Macaca mulatta: one gene and its partner. The protein of the gene in region 2 purifies or fractionates together with the protein of the main gene of each other region. This does not show direct contact. Links are inferred from orthologs where the notes say so. Each region holds a gene or a part of one and is shown on either strand. Other genes may lie near its edges.

Region 1 (15,456 bases), on a different chromosome or scaffold from region 2:
CTACACTGAGCCATGATCGTGCCACTGTACTCTAGCCTGGGTGACAGAATGAGATCCTATCTCAAAAAAAAAAAAAAAGATAGAAAAGAAAAATAGATGAACATCAAATATGAATACAAATATAGCTAGAAAAACATTCCGCTCCTTACTTCATCTCTGCTGATGAGTTCATTGGAAAAAGTGAGTCCTGGCATAAGACCTCTCTTCTTTAGCCAGAATATAGCAGCAAAAGATCCTGAGAAGAAAATTCCTTCTACAGCAGCAAAGGCCACCACTCTTTCCCCTGGGAGACATAAAATCATTTCAGTTTTTGAAATATCAGATACCGCAAACATTTGCATATATATATGCAAATATGTATATTTGATAAATAAATTTAATAAATATTTATTGATGTATATGGTGTATATATATCAATAAATACCATGACTGTTTGCAAAGAAACAAAATACACAAGTTAGTGCCATGGCCAAAGATCTCCATAGGAGAAAATGTGCCACCTCTACCTACTGGAGCAGAAAGGTATGCCTCCTTCAAATCCTCTGTCAGACAATGGACTTCTATAGGTCTTGGTGTCTGGACAAAGAAGGACCTTCCATACTCAAAACAACAGGTGATTTATGTGTGCCCCACACATGACTGTGAGTGCAGGTACATGCATATGTGTGCAGTATGTATACATATGTGTGTGTGTACTAGACTGGTGAGTAGAAGGTAGACTTTATGACAAGTGTCTTCCTCTGAAAGTAGGAGAGGTTGCTTAAGTTTATATTTTCAGAAACTTATGGTATCTTACAGACCATCTGCAAACATTTCAAAAACCATTGGCATGGATCTGCAATTTAAAAAAAATAGATAAGCCCAACTGAGGATAATAAGTATATCTATTAGATAAAATATCACCATAAAATAAGCAAAAGTACGTTTTCTGCTAAATACGAAAGGGCCAATTTTAAAGGTTACTCATTGTTAGGCAAGGACTTCATAGAAATCCATCTCCTATTAAGAAACTGTCTACAGTGGCAGCATATCTGTGACATTATACAGGATGATCAGAGCTCTAACCCAAAAGGTCATTCACAAGGTGCTTATGTCACCACACTGCATATGCTTGAGAAAAGTATTTATATATGTCTAAGGAGAAAGGTTTGGTCTATTAGACTGTGAGATACAGGCAGCTGAGTGCTTGAGTGCATTACAAACCTTTTTCATAGATGACATCACGGTTTATACCTCAGTACATGTCACAGGACCACACACAAAGAAGTCACTTAATAAACAAGTCCTAGGCCGGGCGCGGTGGCTCAAGCCTGTAATCCCAGCACTTTGGGAGGCCGAGACGGGAGGATCACGAGGTCAGGAGATCGAGACCATCTTGGCTAACACAGTGAAACCCCGTCTCTACTAAAAAATACAAAAAACTAGCCGGGCGAGGTGGCGGGCGCCTGTAGTCCCAGCTACTCCGGAGGCTGAGGCAGGAGAATGGCGTAAACCCGGGAGGCGGAGCTTGCAGTGAGCTGAGATCCGGCCACTGCACTCCAGCCTGGGTGACAGAGCGAGACTCCGTCTCAAAAAAATAAAAAAATAAAATAATAAAATAAATAAATAAATAAACAAGTCCTGAACTGACTCATTGGAACCTATAGAAGTACTAGATGAGAGAAGACATTAAAATCCACTCTAGGCTAAGTGCTGCAGTGGCTCACATCTGAAATATCAGCACTTTGGTAGATCGAGGAAGGAGGATCACTTGAATGCAGGAGTTAGAGACCAGCCTGGGCAACATAGCAAAACCCCATCTCTACAAAAAATTTAAAAATTAGCTGGGTGTGGTGGTGCACACCTGTAGTCACAGCTACCTGGGAGGTTGATGTGGGAGGAATGCTTGAGCCCAGGAGGTCAAGGCTGCAGTGCGCTATGATCACACCACTGCACTCCAGCTGGGCAACAGAGTGAGCCCATTTCAAAAATCATCATCAGCATAATCACTATTCTTAAGATAGAGACTTGTCATTAGTTTAACATATAACTTACTGTATCTTTTATCTTACTATTAGGATAACTTATAGTTATTGATACATTTTTCATTGACATTAAGGTAACATCAAAAGGATAATTATCTGTAAGGAAAGTAGACTATAATTAAATACAAACGTGAATAAAAGAAAAATTGATATTTTTATTTTTATTAGAGAGTGGGGTCTTGCTCTTGTCACCCAGGCTGTTGTGCAATGGCGCATTAATGGTTCAAACAGTCTCAAACTCCTGGGCTCAAACAATGCTCTCACCTCAGCCTCTGACGTAGCTGGGACTACATGCGTGCGTCACCATACCTGGCTAATTTTTTTATTTCTTTAGAGCTAAGGTCTCTCTATGTCGCCCTGGCTGGTTTGAACTTCTGGCTCAAGCCATCCTCTTATCCCAGCCTCACAAGTAGCTGGGATTATAGGCACAAGCCACCGTGCCTAGTGGAAAATTGGTATTGTAACCATGCTATACATTCATGTGAATACTAAAGAATGAAAATCATAACATAGTTATAGAAGGCTATTCTTTTTTGGAGAAGATTAAAGGATTACAGGTGGCACATTTTACAATTTTTTGAGATATATGTGAAATAAAAAGAGGGTTCCAGAACATTTCTCCTAAAAACTATAGTGAATGTAAAGGCCTCATGATTCATTTTAGAGAGGGGAAGGTTGGATATATTTTTAAGATACAGCTGACCTCTATGATGGCAATGTACTAAGATTGTGTAGCTAATATTTTTTGAGGCTTGAAATAAAATTTCATTACATATATTAAGTTTTAATCTATATATTTTAAAGTTCTTTAAAAATATTTTAAAAATTAAACAAGATGTCTCAATTTTTAAAAATCTATACAGATATATAATAAGGAAAATTTTTGCTCTATAGGAATTGAATCTTGTTATAACATAAACTTTCAGACAAACTAATAATTTTTTAAGAAATATTCTTAGTTTCTCTTTAGCTAAAAATAAAGGCTTATAAGAGTCTGGATATAAGGAAAGAATAGTTGCTATGCTGGATCTTAGTGCAAAAGGCACTAAGAAGGTCACCAAAAATGTTAGGCAAAACCCTAAGCCAGATGAATGAGCTGTCCTTGTCAACTTATAGCTACTAACGGTGCAGGTAGCCCAATCAGTTCATAAAATAGCACTTCCTCAGCTGGTTAAAGGAAAGTAACAGTGTGCAGCAAAGCAAGGCGATATTTCCATGTTACTGTCTTTTAGCTCCACTCCCAAAAACGAGAGTCACCAATGCACTCTTCACCCTTTCCCCTTTCCCTGTTCCACTCTACATTCATTCAACTCCCCCTCCACAATTTTAGAACATGTTCTTTCCTCTGAGACCCTAAATTAGAACCCGAAATGGGGTTTCCCTTGAGATTAAGCAATATGAAGAATCTAGCTGGAGTCCTCATGTAGTTACATAGTGACTGCCAGCCTTCTCTGTTTTCTCTATTTCTAGGTTGTCCTTCTTGGGTAGTTCATGAAATACATGCTTTCTGTGGGCCTGCTCATCATTTTTCATCACTACTTGTCCATACTAGTATTTTCAGTGTATATGGAACACTCTGCCTTTTCCCTTCTTTTTTCTCTAAAGCCAGCATTTCCCATAGTGTTTCTGAAGCTCCTTGGGAGGGAATCAACTGAATACAAAAATGCAGATTTCTCAGTCCCATCTGGGCCTCCTACATCACTTTTGGCAGGATTCTTAAGAGTTTTTCCACAAATTCTCCAGATGATTTTTACATATATTGAGAACCAGTGCTTTTCTCATTCCTATTTAATTTTTTTTTTTTTCTAGAGTCTGGGTCTTGCTCTGTCACCCAGGCTGGAGCACAGTGGATCATAGCTCACTGTAGCCTCAAACACCTGGGCTTAAGTGGTCCTCCTCCCTCAGCCTCCCAAGTAGCAGGGTCTACAGATGCATGCCACCATACCTGGCTAGTTTTAAAATTTGTTGTAGAGATGGGGGTCTTGCTTTGTTGCCCAGACTGGTCTTAAACTGCTGGCCTCAAGTGATCAACCTCAGTCTCCCAAAGCACTGGGATTACAGGCGTGAGTCACCATGCCCGGCTGCCTTTCTCATTTTCGAAATGAACTGAAGGCAAGGAGGCAAACATATCTGCTTCATCCCTGGTATACTACATGCTGGCCCATATATGCACTACATCACTGGTTCTTCAGTGTGGTCCAGGAGTCCCTGAGAGATCTACAGACCCAGGAGACCTGTGAGGTCAAAACTATTTTCATAATAACATTAAGGCATTATTTATTTTTTTTAACTACCAGTCTCTCATACTTTACAATGGTATTTTCTAGAAGCTACATGACATATTCATAATAATCTGAAAAGCTAAATAAAATATTTCTCCCTTTTCTAACTATAATATGTATTTAAATGAGGCATATACTACATACATATACACTGCAACAAATCGAATGCAAAGGCAGATATGGTACTCCAACTGTTTTCTATTAAGTCGGACATTTAAAAGATTTATAGAAATTTAAAAGCATGCTATCCTTTTTTTTTTTTGGGAAAATACAGAAACTTATATAAAAATGTTATCCGTATTAAAATGTAATGGGTTGATTATTGCTATCTTAGAATGCACTAATACATATTTTTAAATTATCTCAATGTTAATTTCTAATGCAGAAATATCAATACCTATAACCTACCCAAGTAAAGGCACTTTGGAGCTCTTAATAATTTTTAAGAGTACAAAGAGGCCTGAGACCAAAAATTTTGAGACTTGCTTCCTCACATAATGAATAAAACCAAAAAGTAAAGAACACCAATTAAAAACAGATAAGAATGAGATGTGTACTTAGAGCTATCCAAATGAAAGATAGAAATATTTTAATTAAATGTAGTAAATATTTATTGAGCAACTATTATGTGTAAGACATAATATGATACACTTCCTTAAAAAAATGCTATGGGATCTCAAGTCAGCCAGAAGGGTGTTTGCATTTAGCTTACCTATGAAAAATAAGCCTGTTATTACAAATTGTTTTTTTGTCCTGGTTGATTACACTAATCTTTAGTTTTTGAGAAACTAGATATTTGTTTCCTCAAAAATGTTAAGTTTTCACTTGCTTTAAATTCCTAAAATAGGCCAGGCGTGGTGGCTCATGCCTGCAATCCTAGCACTTTGGGAGGCCGAGGTGGGCGGATCATCTGAGATCAAGACTAACCTGGCCAACATGGTGAAACCCCTATCTCTACTAAAAAATACAAAAATAAGCTGGGCATGGTAGCAGGTGCCTGTAATCCCAGCTACTTAGGAGGCTGAGGCAGGGAGAACTGCTTGAACTTGGGAGGCAGCAGTTGCAGTGAGCCAAGATCACAGATCACGCCACCGCACTCCAGCCTGGGTGACAGAGTGACACTCTGTCTAAAAAAAAAATAAAAATTCCTAAAATAAACTTAAAAGCCAGGTACAAACTGTGAATTGCTATAATACTCTTGTTATTGCTATATGACTGACTCCTATTTAACTGTCATTATGCACTAACATCTTAACTTTTCAACTTCCAACTTATTAAGTAGAATAGATAACAGCTTTATTTTACCAACACTTTCTAATTAATTATTAGGAATAATGATTTTGGTAAAGGTGCATTTGAGATATTTGTACTCCTTTTCCATGCTGTAACTTTGATTAGTACTGGCTAGTCACACCACATAAAATATTGTCATATCACCTGAGGCAAATCTGATCATATATAAATTAGAGCCACATACCAAAAGTAGATTTTCTATCTGCTATCCATCGCAAGGCCCAATCTGCTTTTTTCTTAACATATGGCATGGTTTCAATTGCATTAAATAAAAATTCCCTGTAAAAACAAAAGAATGAACAGCAAAGTTATTCACTTGTTTTTCTTTTTTTTTTGAGACAGAGTCTTGTACTCTTGCCCAGGCTGGAGTGCAGTGGCGCCATCTTGGCTCACTGCAAGCTCCGCCTCCCGGGTTCACGCCATTCTCCTGCCTCAGCCTCCCTAGGGACTACAGGTGCCCGCTACCATACCCAGCTAATTTTTTTGTATTTTTAGTAGAGACAGGGTTTCACTGTGTTAGCCAGTATGGTCTCGATCTCCTGACCTGGTGATCCACCTGCCTTGGCCTCCCAAGGCGCTGGGATTACAGCCCTGAGCCACCATGCCTGGCCTCACTTGTTTTTCTTAATTGGACTAAACTTAATCAGAGATAATAACTGTAACTCTATGGTATGATACCAGATCGGCAGTTTTTATACATTTTTACATGCCCATAAAATAGAAATAAAACTCAAATTATTAGTTTGAATCTGATTCATACAAAACCAGCTAAATCTGAGTATTCAGTTTCTAAACAGAAGATGCTACTGAACAGTTCTTAAAGATAAAATATCTAAAGGTTAACTGGTTCTATAACAAGTTTTTTTTTAAACTCAATACATTATTAAGCAATAGAAAATATTATGCTCAGAAACTTCCATACTTGAATCTTTCCTTAACATTGAATTTTGGAATAAATTCTGATCTGAATATAACCAAGCCATAAGCAATATTTTGTAAATAAAATCCCAACAATACCTTTTCTTGGGATCTCTGATGTAAGTGTCTATCAGCAAACTGTACATCTCTGAATGAACATTCTCGATGAGAATTTGAAAGCCATAGAAACAGCGAGCCTCTGGAACCTGCACCTCCTGACTAAAGCGCTCCACCTAAGAAGAAAGGGAAACAGACATATCCAGTTCTATAGGCTCTCATTAAACACTGCAAATCAGAATCCGGACATCAGCATTATCACTTAAAAACTGCCTGTCACATAACAAACAGGTCAGAAAGACCTTATGGATTATTTTAAGCAGTATCCTAGGCAGTACTGTTTATCCATCAATTATCCGTGGTAAATTAGTTGCACAGTATATATATACACATATATATACATATATACACACATACATATCTATATACACACACACACATTTTTTTTTTTTTTTTGAGATGGAGTCTCACTCTGTCGCCAGGCTGGAGTGCAGTGGTGCCATCTTGGCTCACTGCAACCTCTGCCACCCGGGTTCAAGAAATTGTCCCGCCTCAGCCTCCCAAATAGCTGGGACTACAGGAACGTGCCAACACACCCAGCTAATTTTTGTATTTTTAGTAGAAATGGGTTTTCACCATGTTGGTCAGGATGGTCTCAATCTCTTGACCTCGTTATCCGCCCACTTCGGCCTCCCAAAGTGCTGGGATTACAGGCATAAGCCACCGCACCTGGCCTATCTTTCTATTCTTTTTAAAAAGAAATTATGCCTTCTGATCAACCATAGTTAAGTTTCAAAATGGGGAGCCAGAACCCAGTATTCTATTACAGAGCTCCAAAGGTTATTAAAGTGCAGGTTCTCTATTAAGCTTACCATCTGAGGGTAAAAATCAAACTCATGTTACTGCACTGTAAATAGTTTTGATTGGTATAATTTATGCTTGATTTAATAACATTTGCTGGTCAAAGGATAAGCAATTCATCAGAAAAACATTTAAAGAGTTAAGCTTCATCTAGTTCATTTTTTAGACATCTTTCCTCTGGCTCAATTTAATAATCTTAATGACATTATCATCATTTAACTGCTAAAGGAGAACAAAAGTTAAATCAAGCAAAAATCTTACCAAATTTTCATTTACAATTCCATCACTGGCTGCAAAAAAGGCTAAGATGTGAGAGATGAAGTACTTCTCATCTGCTTTAAGCTTGTTCCAGTGAGGGAGATCCTTTGATAAGTCGACCTGGAATAAAAAGATTTTCAAAAATTTTAATTTGGAGTTAAGTTCTTCTCAACGTGTTTGGGAAACTGTTGGGAAACTAACTTCCATTGTAAAGTTAAGTAGGAATATCCCACTACCAGTAAACTATGGAAAAAGAAAGATGTTAGCATTGCAAAGAAATAGAACAAAAATGTTATGCTAATAAGTGTATTATATTGAGAATTTTTGTTAAATGATAGATTACAGCTACTCTTGGTGGGGGAGGGGGAACAGCTAAACTACATGAGGCAAAGGAAATGTTAATTTATTACACCATGGTAACCATTTTACTATATATATGTATCTTATAACATCATGTCGTACACCTTAAACATACACAATAAAATTTATCTTTAAAAAATTACAACAGAATCAAATTTTCTGGCTAAGAAGCTGGCCAGGATGTACTTTAAAAATATCCAAATTAACATAATCTAGTGGCACCAGAGCAAATGAAAGAAGGGCTAAAAGGGGAGTAGGGAGAATAAAAACTAGTCAAGAAGGCACTGAAGTGAATAAGCTAATGATTCTCAACAGTCATTGCTTTAACATTTTATACAATATTTGCTATGGTGTTAGCTAATTAAGCACCTATTAACCAACTGTAGCTGCTACTTTACTGCCAGGTAATCAGTCTACTTTTATATCCAGAAGTAATGCCAGGCAGGTAACAACCTGAGTTTTGTTTTGGGACGGAGTCTCGCTCTGTTGCCAGGCTGGAGTGCAGTGGCATGATCTTGGTTCATTGCAACCTCCGCCTCCTGGGTTCCAGCAATCCTTCTGCCTCAGCCTCCTGAGTAGCTGGGACTACAGGCAGGTGCCACTATGCCCAGCTAATTATTTATATTTTTTAGTAGAGATGGAGTTTCACCATGTTGGCCAGGATGGTCTCGATCTCTTGACCTCATGATCTATTCGCCTCGGCCTCCCAAAGTGCTGGGATTACAGGCGTGAGTCACCACACCTGGCTTTGTCTTGTTTTTTTAAAGAGACGGGGTCTCACTATGTTGCCCAGGCTGGTCTCAATCTGCTGGCCTCAAGCAATCCTCCTACCTCAGCCTCTCAAAGTGTTGGGATTACAGGTGTGAGCTACCACAGGTGACCAATAATCTGGTTTTTTGTTTGTTTTTGTTTTTGCGTTTTAGACGGAGTCTCGCTCTGTCGCCCAGGCTGGAGTGCAGTGGCCGGATCTCAGCTCACTGCAAGTTCCGCCTCCCGGGTTCGCGCCATTCTCCTGCCTCAGCCTCCCAAGCAGTTTATACGTAGGCATGGTTTCCATTGGGAATGGAAATATTTTTGAAAATGTTCATTAGAATTAGTCTTTGGAATTAAGGGAGATATACTTTAGAATTTGGTGAAACCTACAATTTAAAAATTGTCTATTTTTTAAATTTTTGAGACGGGGTTTTACTCTGTCACCCAGTCTGGAATGCGGTGGCACAATCTCAGCTCACTGCAACCTCTGCCTCCTGGGCTCGAGCAATCCTCCCATCTCAGCCTCCAGAGGCACAGGTGGGACCACAGGCGCACAAAACCATGCCTGGCTAATTTTTTGTATTTTTGGTAGTGACAGGGTTTTGCCATGTTGCCCAGGCTGGTCTTGAACTCCTGAGCTCAAGTGATCTGCCCGCCTCGGCCTCCCAAAGTGCTGGGAGTACAGGCCTAAGCCTCTGCACCCAGCCAAAAATTGTCTTTCAATGTACCCTGTCTTAGTCAGTTCTGGGGGCTATAACAAATTACCATTGACTGGGTTGCTTAAACAGCATACTTTTATTCTTCTTTTTTAACATTTCTGGAAGCTAAATGCCCAAGATCAGGATGCCAGCCTAGTTGGATTCTTGGTGAAGGCCCTCTTCCTAATTTACAGATGGCCACCTTCTTGCTGTATCCTGACATAGCAGAGAGAGATCATATCTCTCATGTCTCTTCTTATAAGGGCACTAATCCTATTCATGAGGGCTCCACCCACATGATCTAATTACCTCCCAAGATTCCACCTCCAAACAGCATCACACAGCATATGTAGACATCATTTTGACAGGGACAGGAGGCAGGGAAATTCTGGGCAGAAGAAGGTGGTCCCCGGCGAGGGCTCCACCCTCAATCCTGGAACTGCAGCCCAAAGTGACAACATGCATTCCTGTTCTCCCACTCGAATGTTACCTTTTCCAAAACCATCCGTGGCCCTGCTACCCCACCCTATGCCCATAAAAACCCCAGGCTCTACCAGCAGAGAAGAGGAGAGGAGAAGAGGAGAAGAGGAGAAGCAGCTGGATGCCAGAGACTATGGTTGAACATCAGAGAGAAGCAGCTTAACTTCAGAGGGACAGCTTGACAGCATCCTTTGGAGAGGAGTCCACTCTATCCTCTTTCCAGCTTCCCTTCCCACTGAGAGCCACTTTCATCAGCAATAAAATCCTCTGTATTCACCACCCTTCAATTTGTTCATGTAATCTGATTTTTCCTGGATGCTGAACAAGAGCTCGGGTGCCACAGGTGTGGATGCTAAAGGCTGTCACACTGACCCTCTGCCCTCACTGGTGGAGACCAACTGTTTCATGTGAAAAGGCAGAGGGCCCACTGAACTGTTAAAACAAGCCATCCACGGACAGCAAAAACTAAAAGAGAGTTGACTATAACACATTCCTTCTGGGTCTTCAAGGGTTGTGGGTACTCCCCACAGATACTGCCACGAGGCCTGCATGGAGTTTTGCTCCTGCTGGTGCCCAAAAGAACTTGCCCAAGCTCCTGCACCTGCTCACCTGCATGCTCCCTCCCTCAAGGGGTTGAGCACAGTGGGTTCAAGTGAGTGGAGTTTGCCCCTGCCAGCGCAAAAGCGGCCAGCTAGCTCCAGCATGTGCATTCCAGTTCCCACCTGCGAAGGGATCAGAGAAACTATCCTGCTTCAATTTTGTCAGAAAAAATCTTTTAAATATTTCTCAGGATTAACTTCATAAACAGTTGAAATATGTAACTGTCCTTGTCTTTTGCCTTTCTTCTATTTACTCTAACAAAGCCTCACCTTGGCACAGTAGCTCATGCCTGTAATCCTAGCACTTTGGGAGGCCGAGGCATTCAAGACCAGTCTGGCCAACATGGTGAAACCCCGTCTCTACTAAAAATAAAAATAATTAGCTGGGCATGGAGGCAGGTGCTTGTAATCCCAGCTACTTGGGAGGCTGAGGCAGAAGAATCACTTGAACCTGGGAGGCAGAGGTTGCAGTGAGCTGAGATTACGCCACTGCACTCCAGCCCAGGGGACGTTGGGAGGCTGAGGCAGGAGAATCGCTTGAACCCAGGAGGCGGAAGTTGTAGTGAGCCAAGATTGTGCCACTTGGCAACAGAGAGAAACTCTGTCTCGAAACAACAACAATAACAAAACAAAAAACACAAAGCCTCAATCTCTTTGACCTTTCCAAAAAGGACTTAATGTCCCAACTTTTTAATAACATGCTATTTTCCAAACCCTTTTTCCCATTGATTTATTCTTTAAGTGTTTGCTGAGTACTTATGCTATTTTCCAAACCCTTTTTTCCATTAATTTATTCTTTAAGTGTTTGCTGAGCACTTACTGCACACCTGACACTGTGCTAAGCACTGGGGATACAACGGAGCAGGGTGGAGGAAACATTTGTCTTCATCTTTTAATATGCAACCTAAAAATCAAGTTCTATTCTATTAAAAGCTCAACTTAGGTTTAACTGAAGGACATCTTCTTCATTCTAATATATTATAACCCCTCACTTTTTTTTTTTTTTGAGACAGTCTCACTTTGTTGCCCAGGCTGGAATACAGTGGCATGATCTTGGCTCACTGCAGCCTCTGCTACCCAGGCTCACGCGATTCTCCTGCCTCAACCTCTGAGTAGCTGGGATTATAGGCACCTGCTGCCACGCCTGGCTAATTTTTGTATTTTTAGTAGAGACAGGGTTTTACCATGTTGTCCGGGCTGGTCTCGAACTCCTGACCTCAAGTGATCTGTCCACCTTAGCCTCCCAAAGTGCTGGGATTACAGGTGTGAGCCACATAAAATATATGTTTGATATTAAATGTTAATATTGTAAGATGCTTCCTTTTAAATATTAAAATTATCTCTTTGAACACTCACTTTCAAAGGTCTTGTAAACTTTATTTACACTACATTAGTCATATTTCCTTCCTGCCTAGCTTTTTCTTATTTGAGCAACTTCTCAATTTCATCATTTAAATACTGATTCCAAACTATATAATTATCGTAATTGCCTGAGTGGCTTTAAAGAAAAAAGTCCCAAACCCCAGATTTTTGTCTTTTGATCAGGGTTTCTGTTGATCAGCCATATTTAAGAATTAAGCTCAACCATTTAAGCTTATCAAATGGTAATTTACATAATTTGTAAATGAAAAATATGTGGAACTAAAAATGTGTTTGACTTATCTTCAAAATACGTATTTGAATCTTCCTATAATTACCTAAAAAACATGTATCAACCTGTAGATTTCAGTTTTTAAAAATTAGTGCTTCTTTGTTACAGGTCACATATTATCTTTGCTAAAAGATGCAAGTTAATTTCCAAATGAATTTCAAGAATCCTAAGAATCCTAAGTACCTTTTTAACATGATGAACCAAAAAGCCACCTGTGTATTCCACTTGTTCTCTGAACTGTATCTTACAAAAAAACTTTCTAAAAACCACAGACAGTTAGGGACAGTCAGGTGTGTCGAGCATTATGACCCAGTATGAAAATATTGGGTGTTTGTTTTTGTGTGGTTTGGTTTTTTGCTGTATATGTCAACTATAATATAACAAAGATGTTGACAATATATAACACTACAATGTAACAAAGATGGCATATGGGTAAAATTAGTGTAATAGAACTTCAAACATTGGTGCCTTCTGATTTCTCAGTTAAATTTTCCCCCTTCTGTGCATAAAATAATAGTTTACATTTATTTAGTGCTTACTAAGTGTCAACTACCATTTTAAACATCTCATTAATCCTCATAACAACTCAAATAGCCAAGTACAACTAGCCCAATTTACTGATGAGGATACACAGAGAAGTCATGCAACTTTCCCAGTCCCATATCTAGTAAGTAGTGGCACAGGATTTGTACCTAGGCAGTCTGACCCCATAGCCTGCATTCTTAACAGCATGTATTTAACATTTATAGAATTAACTTCTTGAAAAAATAGATAGATTCAAATCTATCTATCCAAATAGATACATCTATCTAAAAAGATACATATACAAACATATACAGAACAAGAGTGCTGTACAGGTAACACCCATCAAAGATCAAGACAATAACTATTTGTTCAGTTAGACTACAGGGCAATCATCTTCATGACCACTGTCCTTACCAACCAGCAAATATTTTCTAGTTTGCTGTGTTCAACTGATCTCCTAGGTGGAATTAACAGAAAGCATTCTACAGCTGGTCTTTCAGTGGCAACTCTGTCACGTCTGATGTAGCTGAGGGCACGGCCAAACTGGGAGCAGCACTGTGAATTCCACCTGGCTGACTCAGGAGTGAGTCCATGAAGAGTTTGAAGATCAAACTCTTCATGCAGCACCTCCCTTTGTACAATCAGATAAGTCTCTCAGTTGGAAGCAGAGTTGCTCCAGCTTTCACTCATTTTTTGACTAAAGCTGCAATTTTACTTATTCTGCCGACCTTATAAGACTAGTGAGACTAGTCTTACTTGGCCATATCAAACTCAAAGTCTGTTTAAAATTTGAAAATGTTGGCCGGGCGCGGTGGCTCACGCCTGTAATCCCAGCACTTTGGGAGGCTGAAGTGGATGGATCACAAGGTCAGGAGTTTGAGACCAGCCTGGCCAACATGGTGAAACCCCGTCTCTACTATATATACAAAACTTAGCCGGGCGTGGCAGCGGGTGCCTGTAATCCCAGCTCTTGGGAGGCTGAGGCAGGAGAATCGCTTGAACCCGGGAGGTGGAGTTTGCAGTGAGCCGAGATCGTGCCACTGCACTCTAGCCTGGGTGACAGAGTGAGACTCTGTCTCAAAAAGAAAAAAAAAAAGAAAAGAAAAAGAAAAAAGAAAATGTTCTAATACATTGGAAATAAAAATCTGGGAGAATTAGATGCCATTGTTGCAGCAGAAAACTAGTTTATAGATAGTAATCTAAACTAAAACATTGAGAACATCGTATTTAGTCTCAGTAATTCCAAAACTTATCTTCTGCAACTGATCTTCTTCAACGTATAAGTTAAAGTTTTTCAATATCCTGTAAAACAAGAAGGGAACACTGCACTATAGGACATGAATGCTCATGAAGGCAATGCCACGTACCTCTTCTGCTGTCCAGAAGGAAGCCTGTGCCTGTTTATACATTTTCCAAATATCAGGGTACTGGATTGGAAAGATGACAAACCGGCGAGAACTCTTTCTTAGGAGGGGCTCTTCATTTGACTTTATTTCATTGTCGTTGGTATCTGAAGATGATCTCTTTGAAAAATAAAGTACAAACATGCTTTTTATATAGACATTTCTCCTTTATTCATACCTAAACATACATCTAGGGAAGTCAGGGAGACGGCAATGGTTTGAGAGCCTGTCTGCCTGGGTTGAATCCTTACTGTTACCTGGTAGCTGACTAATACTGTTAGGAAGTGCGTGTGTCACCATAGGAAGCTGCTTAACTTCTCTAACCCTCAGTCTCCTCAGCTGTAAAGTAATTCCTGCCTCATAGGTTTATTCTGATGATTAAAAGTGCTTTAAACAAAGCCTGGTATACAATAAGCACTCAAAAATTATTGTAATTATTGCTAGTTTGAGGATAAGTAGAAAGCTAGATCCATAAATGTCATGATGGACAAATTTCTAAGTTTGTGAACAAAATGTCCCTTTAGAGTCTCTCTGATATAGAATGCTGGAATGAATAAGCTACTGGTATAAGCTACTTTATTTTAATGTTTTTTCTTTCTGCTCTTCACTGAAATACTATAATATTTATCTGAAAACTCATTACCTACAACTTAACCTTTGTTCATCTTAACCTTCTGATACTCCAATTTGTTACTTCTATTTACATTTTAACATTACTGCATATGATCTCACTGTGGGCTGTCTCAAAGCTTTGTGAATAAAATGAGAAACACAAACCTGTATTCATACTGCTTCAAAATATGACTGCACTCTAAGAGCAAATGGTGCCATGTAGATATATTTAAAATAGTCAGCGGGAACATCAGAAGAGGACCAGAAGAGTCGCACATGCATGAGAATGAGTATACACAAAGGACATACCAATAAGCTAAACATGTATAAACCAGGATTAGAACACATACAAATTCTAGACTCCTAACCAAAACTGTCTCTCTCTACTGTGACAGGCCCATTATGTTCCTTACTCCAGCCTCCACCCATTGTCACCTCACCAAAGCAAGTGTTATAGAGGAGGAGGCTAAGCCTTCGCAAGAAGAAAGCCCAAAATACAAGCATAAGGCTATGCAAATACCGGGGGACTTGCATGCTTTATACCTACTGCCATCACAGTACAGATTGTCTTGATTTTAACTATTTGTTTAAAGGTGTGGGCCTCCTCAGATACAACACTTGAGCCCTGGAGAAGAGGAACCAATTTTTATTTGTTGTGATGTTCCCAGAACTTAGGATCGTG
Region 2 (15,556 bases):
GATGAAAACCAAATATTGATCACTAAAGGAATTCTTACACATACATACAATGACAATATATCTATAAAATGGAACATTATACAACTATTATAAAAAAATGAGTAAATTCATAAAGGCTGATAGAGAACAAACAAGATATACTTACAAGTGAAAAAAGTATCAATGAAAATAGTATGCACAGTACAGTACCACCAAAAATAAAAATATATATGTACACACACATATGCACACACATGTACGTACAAAATAGCTCTGGAAAAATACATTTTAAAATGATAAAGTTGTTTCTAAAGAGGAAAATCAGGAATCAGGGCAGGAAAAAACAGAATTGTATTTACCTGTATCTTTTGTAGTGTTTAAATTTTCTAAAATGTGTGCAATATTAAAAAAGACTATCAAAAAATTTCCACCAGAAGAGTGTTATACATACATCTTTATTAGCCAAAACAATATCCAATGTTGACTTGGCCACCATAGGAGAGTGTTTGCCATTATGTGGATTTATGTAGTTATAGAGGTCTTCCATCACATCTAAAAAAATACAACAAAAAAAGAAAATATATCAAGACCACTTAACAGCTAATTCAATCTTTAGGTAACAGTTGAAAATAGTAGTTCTCAACCCTTTTTTTCTTTTTTTTTTTTTTTTTTTTTTTTTTGAGACGGAGTCTCGCTCTGCCGCCCAGGCTGGAGTGCAGTGGCCGGATCTCAGCTCACTGCAAGCTCCGCCTCCCGGGTTCACGCCATTCTCCTGCCTCAGCCTCCAGAGTAGTTGGGACTACAGGCGCCCGCCACCGCGCCCAGCTAGTTTTTTGTATTTTTTAGTAGAGACGGGGTTTCACCGTGTTAGCCAGGATGGTCTCGATCTCCTGACCTCGTGATCCGCCCGTCTCGGCCTCCCAAAGTGCTGGGATTACATACAGGCTTGAGCCACCGCGCCCGGCCAACCCTTTTTTTCATCTCAACCCACCTCAATATCTAGCATGTAAAGTGCTCAAAAAACACATACATGTTGAAGAAATATGTAATGCCTCATTTAAGGAAACAATCTTCTAGAGTTAAAGTGATTATAAGCTCTTGTAGTTTAAAATAGATTCCTGGGCCGGGCACCGTGGCTCACGCCTGTAATCCCAGCACTTTGGGAGGCTGAGGCAGGCGAGTCACGAGGTCAGGAGATAGAGACCATCCTGGCTAACACGGTGAAACCTCGTCTCTACTAAAAATACAAAAAATTAGCCGGGCATGGTGGCACGCGCCTGTAGTCCCAGCTACTCGGGAGGCTGAGGCAGGAGAATGGCATGAACCCGGGAGGCGGGGCTTGCAGTGAGCCGAGATTGCACCACTGCACTCCAGCCTGGGTGACAGAGTGAGACTCTGTCTCAAAAATATAAAAATAAAAATAAAAATAAAAATAAAATAAAATATAAATAAATAAATAAAACAGATTCCTAAGGCTGGACAGTGGCTCACATCTGTAATCCCAGCTCTTTGGGAAGCTAGCCACCCACCTCAGCCTCCTGAGTAGCTGGAATGACAGGCACACACTACTATACCTTGTTAACGTTTTTAATTTTGGAGAGAAAGGGTCTCACTATGTTACCCTGGCTAGTCTTGAACTCCTGGGCTCAAGTAATCCTCCTGCCTTGGCCTCCCAAAGTGCTGGGATTAGGCCCACCATGCCTGGCATAAAATTTTTAAAAACTTTTTTTTCCTTTTTGGCTCCCGATAGGAAACAATAAAGATTTTTTAATCTCAGTCTACCAGCTGGCTTCTTATATATTGAACAAATTAACCTTCCCTTTCCCACATTCCCTGAGCTGTAAAATGGTAGTGATGAAATGAAGAGTTCGCATCTAGTGAGAAAGGAGCAAGTATAACATTTTGTTTAACCCAAAACTTGTTAATAAATATTATTCATTTTTCCAACCATATCACCACCAAGCGCCTAACAATGGGCTTTAAAAAAGAGAGAGAGAGGCCAGGTGCGGTGACTCACGCCTGTAAACCCAGCACGTCGGGAGACCAAGGAGGGCAGATCACCTCAGGTCAGGAGTTTGAGACCAGCCTGGGCAACATGGTGAAACCCCATCTCTACTAAAAATACAAAAATTAGCTGGGTGTGGTGGCAACTGCCTGTAATCCCAAGCTACTCGGGAGGCTGAGGCAGGAGAATCGCTTGAACCCGGGAGGCGGAGGTTTCAGTGAGCCGAATCATACCATTGCACTCCAGCCTGGGTGATAAGAGCAAAACTTTATCTCAAAAAAAATAAAAAAATTTAAAAAGAGAGAGAATAAAAAACTTAAAGAACAAAGATACATCAACTCTTTTATACAGCAGATAGGAAGCATGGAGAAATAGGAAACTGTAGTCCACTCTTTCCCACTAATTTACATATTTGCCATTTATTTATTTATTTATTTATGAGACAGAGTCTCACTCTCTCGCCCAGGCCGGAGTGCAGTGACATAGGCTCGGCTCACTGCAATCTCCGCCTCCCGGGTTCAAGCAATTCTCCTGCCTCAGCCTCCCGAGTAGCCGAGATTATAGGCCCCCGCCACCATGCCCAGCTAATTTTTTGTATTTTTAGTAGAGATGGGGTTTCACCATGTTGGCCAGGCTGGTCTCAAACTCCTGACCTAAGCAATCAACCTGCTTGGCTTCCCAAAGCACTGGGATTACAGGTGTGAGCCACTGCACCCGGTCTGTTTTATAATTTTAGATTTTTCTTAAAACGCAGAGATGGGGTTTCACCACATTGCCCAAGCTGTTCTCAAACTCCTGGACTCAAGCAATTTGCCTGCCTTGACTTCCCAAATTGCTGGGATTTGAGGTGTAAGCCACCCCACCTAGCCATATTTGCTTCTTTAAACAGTCAAGATTTCTACTACCCTTATTACTTTTCTGAGAATACTGAATTTTTACTTTTTCACCCAAGACTTACCACTGAACACTTTCTTTGTTTCTTTGTGTAAGTTAGAGACAGCAATCCTGGCTGCCAGGATAGCATAGTCAGGGTGCTTAGTAGTCAAGGTTGCAGCTGTTTCAGCAGCCAAAGTATCTAGTTCCACTGTGGTGACCCCACTGTACAAGCCTTGGATTACTTTCATGGTGATCTGAGCCTACAAAAATAAAACCAAGAATTACTTGAGCTTTCCCAAGAAACAATAGCTTCCTTAAAAGAGTAATTAAGAAAACCATCATGGCCAGGTGTGGTAGTACATACCTATAGTCCTAGCTACTCAGCAGTTGAGGTGAGGGGATCACTTAACCTTAGCAGTTCATGACCCTATTTTAAAAAAAAAAAAAAAAAAAAAGCCAGGCGTTGTGGCTCACACCCATAATCACAGCACTTTGGGAAGCCAGTGTGGGAGAACGGCTTAAGTCCAGGAGTTCGAGACCAGCCTGGGCAAGCCAGGAAGACCCCCCCCCCCACCATCTCCACAAATAATAAAAAAATTAGCTGGGTGTGGTGGTACACACCTGTGATCCCAGCTACTCAGGAAGCTGAGGCTGCAAGGAGCTGTGATTATGCCACTGCACTCCAGCCTGGGCGACAGAGTGAGACCCTGTCTCAAAAAAAAAAAAAAAGGAAAGAAAAAAAGAAAACAATCAAATTCACATCACAATATAAACGACAGGTTGGGCACAGTGGCTCACACCTGTAATCCCAACACTTTGGAAGGCCAAGGTAGGAGGCTCACTTGAGCGCAGGAGTTTGGGACAAACCTGAGCAATATAATGAGACCCTATCCCTACTAAAAATTAAAAAATTAGCCAGTCAAGGTGGTAAGTGCCTGTGGTTGCAGCTACAGGGTAAGCTGAGGTGGGAGGAATGCTTGTACTGGGGAAGTCAAGGCTGCACTGAGCTATCTATGATCATAGCACTGTACTCCAGCCTGGGCAACACAGTGAGACCCTGTCTGAAACAAAGAACAAGACAATTTACTTATCTGAAAAATTATCTTTCGGAATGGTGGGCAGTGGGAAACTTAGTAATGAGAATGCACAACCCAGCAGAACTACAGAAAATGTATACTACATATAAAATGAAGGTGTTATTTAAAAAAACCTAAATATAGCCTTTAAATCAATTAGTCTCACAGGGAAATAGCTGAAAACATACTAATGATTCTGTATTTCCCTATTTTCATTCAAATTCTCCCAACAGACTAATGATTCTATATGAGTGTTTCCCCATTTTTCATTCAGATCCTCCCTAAGTGATCAGGGCTCCAGCTTCATACTTACTTTTCCCAAATTCCATATAAGGATAAGTACAGAAAAGCAAATGAATCAAACTTTAATCATGCCAATTAAAGGAGAAAGAAGTATAAATTAGGTTTGGGGCTGAGTCATGATAATTTAATGACTACTCTTTCTTTAGCACTTCACAAATTACAAAGTGCAACCTCCACCCCTGGGGTTCAAATGATTCTCAACCAAAGTTGATCAAAAATTATCAACTTTGATAATCTCTGACATTTCATAATCACTTTGTGAGATGATTATTACTATACCTATTTTACATTAAGAACCTGAGGCTCAGGTTATTGGGACTTGCCCAAGGTTATATTATTATACAAGTCTTCTGGCCCCAACCCCATTAAACTTCACTGTATTTCACTGTTTTCAAGGCCACATTGTAAGTTCATTTTTAAGACACGTAATGCACAAGGTATTAGCATACATTTTTAAGAAAAACAAATTCTAAGTTGTGAGTGTGTGTGTTTATTGAATCTTTAAGAAACCACTTAATCCAACAGAAAATAAATGTATTTCCCAGCTGAACAATGCATACCCCCCTCAAAAAAAAGACACATACATGTGTAACTATTTTAACAGTCTGCAATCTATTCTAATTATAATATAGCTAAACCCAAGTTGCTCCCGATCACTTTCTTCCCAGATCCAGTAGATAAGGTGTGTTCAGTATAAGAGCAGTGAAGTCTTCTAAATAGTTTCTAGAGTAATATGGCAAACAATTAGAACTCAGAATAAAATACCATCTGTGTGCTAACTGTGCTGTGCCAGATCTAACAGCATACACAGTTTTTCTTTTTTTCTTTTTGAGACAGGGTCTCATTCTGTGGCCTATGCTAGAGTACAGTGGCACAGTCTCAGCTCACAGAAACCTCAACCTCCAGGACTCAAGCGATCCTCCCACCACCAAGTAGCTGGGACTACAGGCATGCGCCACCATGCCCAGCTAATTTTTGTTTTTTTTGTTTTTGTTTTGTTTTGTTTTGTTTTTGTAGAAACAGGGTTGAGGGAAGGCACGGTGTGGCTCATACCTGTAATCCCAGCACTTTGGGAGGCCAAGCCGGGCAGATCACTTGAGGCCAGGAGTTCATGCCTGGCCAACATGGCAAAATCCTGTCTCTACTAAAAATCCAAAAATATAGCCGGGCGTGGTGGCACATGCCTGTAATCCCAGCGGAGGGAGGCTGAGGCACAAGAATCATTTGAACCCCAGGGGCGGAGGCTGCAGTGGGCCAAGATTGTGCCACTGCACCTGGGCAGTTTCACCACGTTGCCCAGGCTGGTCTCAAACTCCTGAGCCCAAGCAATCTGCCTACCTTGGTCTCCCCAAGTGCTGGGATTACAGACGTGCACCGACAGTTTTTCAACAGAATCTACCTTAGGAAGTTTGAGGATGCTGCAACACTCCTGTGCTCTAAAACGTACTACTGCATGAGGCAATAGAACATGTGGGAGTGAAGAGACCTAGGTGCTTCTCCCTATACTCCCACTAACTTAAGTCACTTCCTTCTCTCTTTGGAACTTTCTTACCTATAAAACAAAGATGAAATGGGATGGGCTCTCAAAGTTCATTCCAACTCTAACATTCTACTATTCTAATTATTGTCTTAAGTTCTCAATGTAAAAGAGAATTTACAATAAACATATTTTCAAGATGCATAAAATCATTTTCTCTTGACCAAACTTACTTTGGTCAAGTGGCTAATTAGATATATGTCAAGCACTGAGGATATCACAACAATAAGATACACAGCCCATCCTCAATTCTAGGGTAGGATAAAGACCTATAATTAATTTCCATGTTATATGATTAAAGCTATGAGATGAGCACAGGTTTTACAGCAGTACAGATAAGATACCTAAATAAGGAGATGGAAATATGGGTGGATTTGAAGAAAAGAGTTCTTAGAGATTCTCATTTAAGGAAGATCATTTTAGAAGTCAGGTGGAAGACGAGTTTGAAGAGGGCAAGATTAGAGGAAGTCCAGGACACTGCAGAGACCACAGAAAACAGTCCAGATAACTGATGAGAATCTAGAATATAGAAGTTATAAAGGATAAGGAAAAAAGCAGAGCAACTCGTTTATGAATAGTTTGTTCTTGACTTAAATATTGTCCATGAAATCTACTTTATATTACTTAAATCTTTTTACATAAATAACAAAAAGCAAATTTTAAACCAGTTCCTACCTAAATAACCACAATTCCAAAACAAACTTTAGGCTTCCCTTTTTTTTTTTTTTTTTTTTTTTTTTTGAGAGGGAGTTTCGCTCTGTCGCCCAGGCTGGAGTGCAGTGGCACGATCTCGGCTCACTGCAACTTCTGCCTCCCAGGTTCAAGTGATTCTCCTGCCTCAGCCTCCCAAGTAGCTGGGATTACAGGCGCCCACCACCAGGCCCAGCTAATTTTTGTATTTTTAGTAGAGACAGGGTTTCATCATGTTGGCCAGGCTGTTCTTGAACTCCTGACCTCAGGTGATCCACCCACCTCAGCCTCTCAAAGTGCTGGGATTACAGGTGTGAGCCACCGCGCCTGGCCTAGGCTTTTCCACTAATGAATAAAACAATTTACTCAAGGAAATATCTGATATTAAATGTTAATATCAAATTTTCTTCTTTACTCACATTCATAGTTCTCTGAAAAGTGAGAACTCACAGGACAGAACCAAAATTAAGAAAAAAAAAATGTTTTAAGCAATGAATTCAAATTTTATATCAAAGGGCATAGCCAGAATACCAAAGTATGTCAGGTGAGTGAAGGTCCAGGAATAAGAGACAAATGGAAAGAAACACATGAAACAAGGAACCCAAGATAAAAACCATATTTACTTACAGGATCAACAAAATCCATATTGAGTCCATAACAAAGCTTCTGGATTCGAGATGTAATTTTGTCAAACATGACTCGCTCTTGGCGGCCATCTAAAGAATCAAATCATGTTAGCAATTATTAAATTCTGTTAGCAATTATTAAGACTGCAATGTCAAAGAATCAAATGTAATTAACATGTAAATTGACCAACATGAAATGCTATTTCACAGATAAGATTCAGGCCCCCTCAAAAGATTCATGACGAGATTGTCTTCTCTGATGTCACCTTCAAAGAGTATGAATTCTATACATACAGATATTTACAGATAACTTCCTAAATTCCCCCCATCCCACATTGCAGCCAAAATTACCCTTTAAAAGTTAAACTCAGAATCATATCATTACCTCCCTCAAAACTCCTAATAGTGGCTTCTTATCTCCAGAATAAAAGTCAAAATTGTTAAAAAACAATCCACAGGCCAGGCGTGGTGGCTCACACCTGTAAGCCCAGCACTTTGGGATGCCAAGGCGGGTGGATCACCTGAGGTCAGGAGGAGTTCTAGATCAGCCTGACCAATATGGTGAAACCCCGTCTCTACTAAAAATACAAAAAATTAGCCGGGCGTGGTGGCAGGAGCCTGTAATCCCAACTACTCAGGAGGCTGAGGCATGAGAATTGCTTGAATCCGGGAGGCGGAGGTTGCAGTGAGCTGAGATCACGCCACTGCATTCCAGCCTGGACAACAAGAGTGAAACTCCATCTCAAAAAAAAAAAAACAAAAAACAAAAAATCCACAGAATCCTATACAACCTGTCCTGTGCACCCACCTCCCAATTTCACCTCCAACTCTCCCACCTTCCTTCCTATTCTACCTTGACAACCTGGCCTTCTTGCTATAGATCTCCTTTAGGTCTTTTGCTCAATGTCATCACCTTCTCAATGAGGCTTTCCCTGATGATTCCATTTTAAATTGCAATGCCCCAAATAGGGCCCTTGCTCTTCTTATCTCCCTTCCCCTTCTGTGCTTTTTCTCCATAGCGCTTATCCCATCTGACATACTATATATTTTACCTAATATTTTTCATGATTTTGGACTTAGATTATATCTTTGTCCTTCTAGACAAAAGTCTTACTACTCTTAGTTTAACCTCAAATAGTAGCTCATCCGACCTTTATTTATTCTTACCAGGAATAGTGAATATATCAAACCACCAAACAGCCTTAACCCTAGGCAAGCCACAAAACATAATCAGTCATTTCACAGATCTTCATTTGTAGAAAGGGGTTAATTATTATATCTATTCTACTTGCCTCACCAGTTTACTGTGACAATAAAATGAGATAAGGTAAAAAGTGCTTTTGTTGTAACAACTTTGGCATAGTTACAACTATGATACCTCATTATAAAATAAAGCTGCTCCTATGGGGAAAAAAATCACAGTATGTGATACACAATAGGCACTCAATAAATATTAGTGTCTCACACTGATTTAGTTTTTGTCTCCTTTGTGCACCCACAATCCATTGTAACTATAGGCTGAGTATCCTTAATCCAAAATTCCAAAATCCAAAACACTCCAAAATCCAAAACTTTTTCAATGCCAACACAATGTTCAAAGAAAATGTTCCTTGGACCATTTCAGATTTTGGATTTTCTGATTAGGGATGCCCAACTGGTAAGTATAATGCGAATATTCCAAAATCTGAAACAAATCCAAAATCTCAAACACTTCTGGGCCCAAGCATTTTGGATAAGGGATACTCAACCTGAAGTAACCAATAAGAAACATGTTAAATATATTTACATTTGGCCCTCTCATTCACATCTGTATTCTCAAATTTAGTGCCTAGAACAAGGCAAGTTCTCAAACATTTGATGAAGAATAAATGAACAATAAGACATCACTATTAAACCATTATCACTAGAACAAGTTGCTTTTTCTTCTACACTGATATATTAGCCCTTCTCTTTCTGATCACCATTGTGATAATTTTCTGATTAGGCTCACATTTGCAGCATTTAACTCTGGAACAGGGTAAATTAACTGGCTGCCACTGGGACTGAAACCTCAGTGCTCTGGCAATTGGAAAACTAAGCAGGCAGGTAACCACAAAGCAACATTAGCGTTCTGCAATTATACATGGAGTGGCGGGGAAAAGCAACTTAGCAAAAAGAAAATTCTGCAACTGCCAGAAGTTCTGAAGTCAATCAGGAAACTGACAAAAAAAAAAAAGTGCATTGGTAATTAATCTTAACTCACACGTGAGAATAGGAGGCAGACTAAAGATCTAAAGGTCCAATGACACGCGGTTCTCTATTCTGTCATTCCACTTGGTTAGTTTTTCAAGCCAGATGTCGATTTTATCACATCAGTAATCCCTGCTTCTCACTGCCTACATTATCCTCTTCTCTCAAGCAAAGTCTTTCTTAGTTTGGCCCCAGATCTCTTCTACTGTTCCGTGTGAAATGTAAGTCCCAAGAAGGCTTCCCATTCCCATATCCACATCATTGCTTATACCGTACTCTGCCTAAAAGTTCCTCTTCCACATTTCCATACATCTAACTCCTGAGGCAGGCGGATCACCTGAGGTCAGGAGTTAGAGACCAGTCTAGCCAACATGGTGAAACCCCATCTCTACTAAAAATACAAAAAAACACACAATGAGCTGGGTATGCTGGCAGGTGCCTGTAATCCCAGCTACTCGGGAGACTGAGGCAGGAGAATTGCCTGAACCCGGGAAGCAGAGGTTGCAGTAAGCTGAGATCACACCACTGCACTCCAGCCTGGGCAACAGAGCGAGACTCCATCTCAAAAAATAAAAAATAAAACAAAAAATCCTCTAGCATACTAGTGTGATTTCCTCTTGACTATAAACTGTCTTTCATTCTTCTCTCTTCAGGAAGATGTCCCTAATCCTGTAAGACCAAGGATGCGTGCCTTTTCCACAAGATACAAACTTTGTAATTTCCTCTGCCGAGAATGTTCAGGCCACAGATCTCACATTACAGTACCTCTTAGTACTATTTAGGGTTCAGCTCAAATGTTGGCTTCTCAGAGAAGCCTTTCCTGGCTACCTAATCCAAGGTTATTTTCTCATTCATCTTTATCACATGATCCTGTTTTACTATCATCTCATTAATCAGTATCTGAAATTAACTGATTATTATGTTTACTTATTTCTTATATACACTTACCACTCCCACCCACACCAAGTTGTAAACTCAATGAGAAATGTAATTTAGCTTTGTTCACTGCAGAATCTCTAATGCCTACAACAGCTCCTAGCACAAAGAGATGCTGAATAAATGCTTTATGAATAACTGAATGAATGGCCTCTACTGCCTATACTTTACCTCTCAGAGTATTTATCATATCTTATCATATTACTTCTTTATTTGTCTATCTTTCTCAATTGATTGTAGGATCTTTGGAAGCTGGAACCATGTCTGCCTACTCATCACAGGAATCCCAGTACACAGCACAGTATCCACACACAGAGTTGTAAAATAATATAGCAGGCTGTGAATGGAATAGGAAGGAAGGAAGGAAGGAAGGAAGGAAGGAAGGAAGGAAGGAAGGAAGGAAGGAAGGAAGGAAGGAAGGAAGGAAGGAAGGGGGGAGGAAGGGAGGGATAGGGAAATAATCTGGAATAAAAGAAAGATTAGAGTGCAAATGGATGCTTTCGAAGACATTATTTCGTAAACTTTTGTATCATTTTATGTGTATCCACATATATACATGTATGTCTGTAAAACGTTTTGTTTTTTACTGCGAGTTACAATCCAAAGTTTTGAAAATACTACACTAAATTCCAAAACAGTTTACAACTCAGTCAGCTACTTTGTCATTTACTGCAATGGTTCTCAGTGTTTATTTTTTTAACCATAATCTCCTTGAGGAATGATATTCTCCCATTAGGAAAAACAGCTCAAGATAGCAGATGAAAAAAACTTATCTACTATTCTCTTCTAACAATTTTAATATGGATTGTTCCTAAATCCCTAACAATTTTAAGTTCTTTAAAGACAGAGCTGCCTTCTCCATTACTGCCCTCACAGTGTTTAGCAAGACATTAGCACATTCAGTAGGTACTTGAAAGTCAACTTCCAGTTGCCCTTCTGAATAATTATATTAAAAATAACAAACCCTAGCTGGGCATGGTGGTGCACATCTGTAGTCCCAGCTACTGAGGAGGCTGAGGCAGGAGAATCTCTTGAACCCAGGAGGCAGAGACTGCAGTTGAGTTGAGATCATGCCACTGCACTCCAGCCTGGGTGGCAGAGCAAGACCCCATCTCAAAAAAAAAAAAAGAAAAAATTAACAAAAACTATAGGAGTTAGTCTGATATTTCACTGACATGCCAAAAATAAGAGGGGACAAAAAAAGTCCAGAAAACCAAAAACCCTATGCATATTAAACAAACATAAAAATAAAATATAGAAACATAGAAATATAAAAAAATAAAGAAAGAAATCTAAGTACATGTTGTACATTAACAAGTGTTGCTGAATGCTACAACGGCAGAATCTACAGCATGAACCATCTGGATCAAATTATGCTCTATGAAGGAATGAGAAACAAAATAAGCTCTGCTTTTTAGTTAGTTGTAGCTAGCACTTTTTTTTTTTTTTTTTGAGACAGGGTGTCACTCTGTCGCCCAGACTGGAGTGCAATGGCACAATTTCAGCAACCGCTGCCTCCCAGGCTCAAGCAATTCTCCTGCCTCAGCCTCCTGAATAGCTGGGACTACAGGCGCAAACCACTACCCTCCAGCTAACTTTTGTATTTTTAGTAGAGACGGTTCCACCATGTTGGCCAGGCTGGTCTCAAACTCCACACCTCAAATGATCCACCGGCCTTGGCCTCCCGAAGTGCTGGGATTACAGGTGTGAGCCACCACTCCCAGCCAAAGTAGCACTTTTTAAACAACAGTATTTAGAAGTAGACTCAAAATGTTAAAAATTCAACACAGAGTTGAATTTTATCCATTCTGGTCATCTAAGTCCATACATTTTCAATTTATCTTTGTTACTAACTTATCATAAACCATCCTAAACATCTCTCCCATATCTAATGATTTAAAAAATAGATGCTCAAGCCAGGTGCGGTGGCTCCCAGCACTGTAATCCAAGCACTTTGGGAGGCTGAAGTGGGAGGATTGCTTGAGCCCAGGAGTTCAAGACCAGCCTGGGCAGCATAGCGAGACTTCGTCTCTAAAAAAAACTAATAAATAATAATGTAAAAAAATAAAAATACAAAAATAGATGCTTAGCTCTCACTCTTAGGAATGGATCAATAAAAGATTTTGCTCTTTGGTCAGCTAAAATGGGAGCTAGGAAAATTCAGAGAATGATGTTCTCAAGATACCAAAAACAAGAAGGGCCACTACTGTCCACCTTTCCAACTCTTGTCTGTAGTTAAACCAATCTGGACATTGGCTGTAGTTAAACCAAATCAACTACCTGCTTATTCGCAGCACTCATCATGTCCTACATTTTGATACAATTATTTTCTTTCATTCTTTAAGAATCTATTCACGTCAGGTCCTGTGCTAAATGTGAGCAGAAAAGTCTCCATCTTGCTTGTATTCCCAGCACTTTGGGAAGCCAAGGAAGGGAGGATGGCTTGAGGCCAGCAGTTCAAAGCCAGCCTGGGAAACACAGCAAGACTCCTTCACTACCAGAAATTTTAAAAAATTAGCCACCCATGGTGGTGCATGCCTATAGTCCTAGCTACTTGAGAGGCTGAGGCAAGAGCATCACTTGAGCCCAGGACTTCAAGGTTACAGTGAGCTATGATTACACCACTGCACTCCATCCTGGGTGACAGAGCAAAACTCTGTCTCAAACAAATCTCCATCTTTGATATGTTCACAGCCTAGAGGACAAAACAGAAACAACCCGTCGATCAACCAGTATTTACCAAGTGCCTACAATTTTGAAATAATTGTATTGCTTTAACAAAGGCAAGTAGGTTCAACTCAAAACTTGTTCATACATATCTCATGTGGCTGTTAAAAGTATGTTGCTCTTGTTTTTCCAACCCGATTAAGCCTATTCCCAAGGCAGGGACTGTCTCCTCTTATAATCTCACAAAGCCAAGCAAAGGACTGGGCACAAAGCAGGGACTCGGCAAGTCTAATGAAAAGGAACTGTTGAGAAAGAATACAAGTTCCTGACTCTTCCCAGTCCCCATCTTGTCAGAAGATGTCTCAACCAACCTTCTCTGATTCAGTATTTCTTGCCATGAAGGGAAAGGAACTCCAGGATGCTGTCTGTCTGGGATCTGTTTTTTCCACCCCACACTCCTATCCTCACCCCACAAAAGAGATCAGTAAACTGACAAGTGGCTGTGTAGGGTAAAGAGTCCCCCTCCTTCTTTCCTAGCTGCCCCCCCACCCGGTGCCTAAGACAGCTCACCAACCCCACGGTTTTCCAAATCAAACTGTGTTGTCAGCTATGGGTGACTTTAGGTCAGTCGCCGAAACCTCGCTCTGAGCTTCAGTTTCCTCATCTGTAAAGTGGAGCTAATAATCTCTCTCTCGGAGGCTTGTAGAGAGGAATAAAATAGTGCCTGGAAAGTGCTCGGCAGTCACTACTCGATACAGGGCGTTATCCTTTTGAAAGGCGGCAGGATGACAAAGCCGAGGGGGCGCAGCCTGAAGGCCCGAAGGAGGTTCGGGGCAGGCTGACTGAAGACAGAAGGCCGAGCGAGCTGACAGGGCGGAAGGCCGCGGCGGGAAAGGCGGGAAAGGCGGGAAGCAGCGGAGGCGGGCGGGAAGCAGCGGAGGCGGGCGGGCGGGCGGGTTGGGCATCAGCTCCGGCGGCGGCAGCCCGCGTCCCCTCACCTCCCTTCTCGCCCACGTCGTTGCCCCCTCACCTCGCTTGATCACATGCATCGCAGCTAGTGGATGAGGCTCTGAAGGATCGGAGACTGGACTGCGGCTCTAAAGCGCCGGCGGGATCAAGAAGGTGACAGAGTAGGAAGGGTTAGGTTGCAGGCGCTGGTCAAGGACAGGAACTGGAGTTGGAGCCAGACAGCACTTTCTCCAGAGCAGAGGCGCAACAATCCAAATCCCCTTCCCGCGCCCGCCACCCGTGACGCACAAAGGGGTGCGACGGGGTTCGAATGACGTTAGTCGACGCTGCGGCCCACGCCTGGGGTAGGCTTCGCAGACTAGTTCAGGCGCCTTGTAGCCGCCATGTTGAGTCTGGGCAAGACACAGAAGACTACGCCTCTCCCATGGGCCCCGTTGGATGTGGACATGCCCGGCGGAAACGCTGCTCTCCTGCCGCCATGTTTTGTGTGGGCAAGCCGAATTTGGACGCCTTGGGGCCCTGGCGTAACACCTAGAGCCTGCCAGGTCAGGCGCCGCCCTTGTCGCTTGCGTGTCTCCGCCGGAGGAAAGGCGGTTCACTTATTTTGTTGCTTTTGAAATAACAAAACCTAACTGGCCGGAACGTTTTTCTTGCTTTGACATTTATTGTAATAATCCTAACACTGCCGTCCGCTGTGGGCTCAAGCCTAGGCTCCACAGCCGTGGGCAGCTTGGAGCCCCAGGGCTTTCAGATCGGCCAGAAGAGTGGCACTCAGGAACTGGAAGAAAACCGCGCAAGGCCAATGGCGTTTGGATTTTATCCTGACGCAAATCAGATCCCTGAGAGAATTTTAAGCAGGGCAGGGTCAGTACACATTTGCTTCTGGGGTTCTTCAGTGGATGGTAGCAGAGAAAGGGTATTTGCCTTGTGGAGGTAGGATGGACTTGGTGACTTAAAGTGGAGAATAAGAATAGATGAGAACCCTAATATGCAAGGCTGGTGTAGAAGCTTCTGATTTGGGCTACCCAAAGCGATCTTTATGAAATTTCATCTGTGGCATCTTTTCCCTAAAGCCTTTTCGTTGGTTTCTCACTACCCTCCAGAAGCTGCCCAAGCTTCCTGTGAAGTAATTTTAAAAATCATGGAAAGTCATAAGTGAGCCTGTAATCGCAGCATCTTGGGAGGCTAAGGCGGGAGTATCATGTGAGACCAGGGGTTGAGATAAGCCTGGGCAACATAGCGAGACCCCCATCTCTACAAAAAATAGAAAAATTAGGACAGCGCGGTGCCTTACTTCTGTAATCCCAGCACTTTGAGAGGCTGAGGTAGGCAGATCACGAGGTCAGGAGTTCGAGACCAGCCTAACCAACATGGTGAAACCCTGTCTCTACTAAAAATACAAAAAGTAGCCAGGCATGGTGGCACGCACCTGTAATCCCAGCTACTCAGGAGGCTGAGGCAGGAGAATCGCTTGAACCCAGGAGGCAGAGGTTGCAGTGAGCCAAGATCACACCATTGCACTCTAGCCTGGGCAAAAGAGCAAGACTCCGTCTCAAAAAAAAAACGAAAAAGAAAAATTAAATAGATGTTTTTTAAAAGTCATAAGTGAAGTTATAGGATAGATAGGGTCAAGTTTACCCAGACATAGGGTTTCCCAATTTAG

Evidence for each region.
Region 1: the proteins of RRM1 (region 2) and RRM2B purify together in Homo sapiens (affinity purification with western blotting; 3 studies listed by BioGRID and IntAct, counting the BioPlex papers as one, with this or other methods). This does not show direct contact. The link is inferred for Macaca mulatta from reciprocal best matches to the Homo sapiens genes RRM1 and RRM2B.

What each region holds. Positions count from the first base shown.
Region 1 is NC_133413.1:112,563,953-112,579,408, forward strand, and holds part of RRM2B (ribonucleoside-diphosphate reductase subunit M2 B), read right to left. Parts: intron 14,972-15,456; exon of another isoform or gene 14,940-14,971; intron 14,283-14,939; coding exon 14,127-14,282; intron 7,814-14,126; coding exon 7,697-7,813; intron 6,751-7,696; coding exon 6,617-6,750; intron 5,879-6,616; coding exon 5,784-5,878; intron 284-5,783; coding exon 150-283; intron 1-149.
Region 2 is NC_133419.1:71,711,537-71,727,092, forward strand, and holds the start of RRM1 (ribonucleoside-diphosphate reductase large subunit), read right to left. Parts: upstream 14,263-15,556; 5' UTR 13,974-14,262; coding exon 13,955-13,973; exon of another isoform or gene 13,296-13,954; intron 7,218-13,295; exon of another isoform or gene 7,183-7,217; coding exon 7,094-7,182; exon of another isoform or gene 7,054-7,093; intron 3,145-7,053; exon of another isoform or gene 3,121-3,144; coding exon 2,943-3,120; intron 532-2,942; coding exon 431-531; exon of another isoform or gene 379-430; intron 1-378. UniProt on the Homo sapiens protein: Provides the precursors necessary for DNA synthesis. Catalyzes the biosynthesis of deoxyribonucleotides from the corresponding ribonucleotides.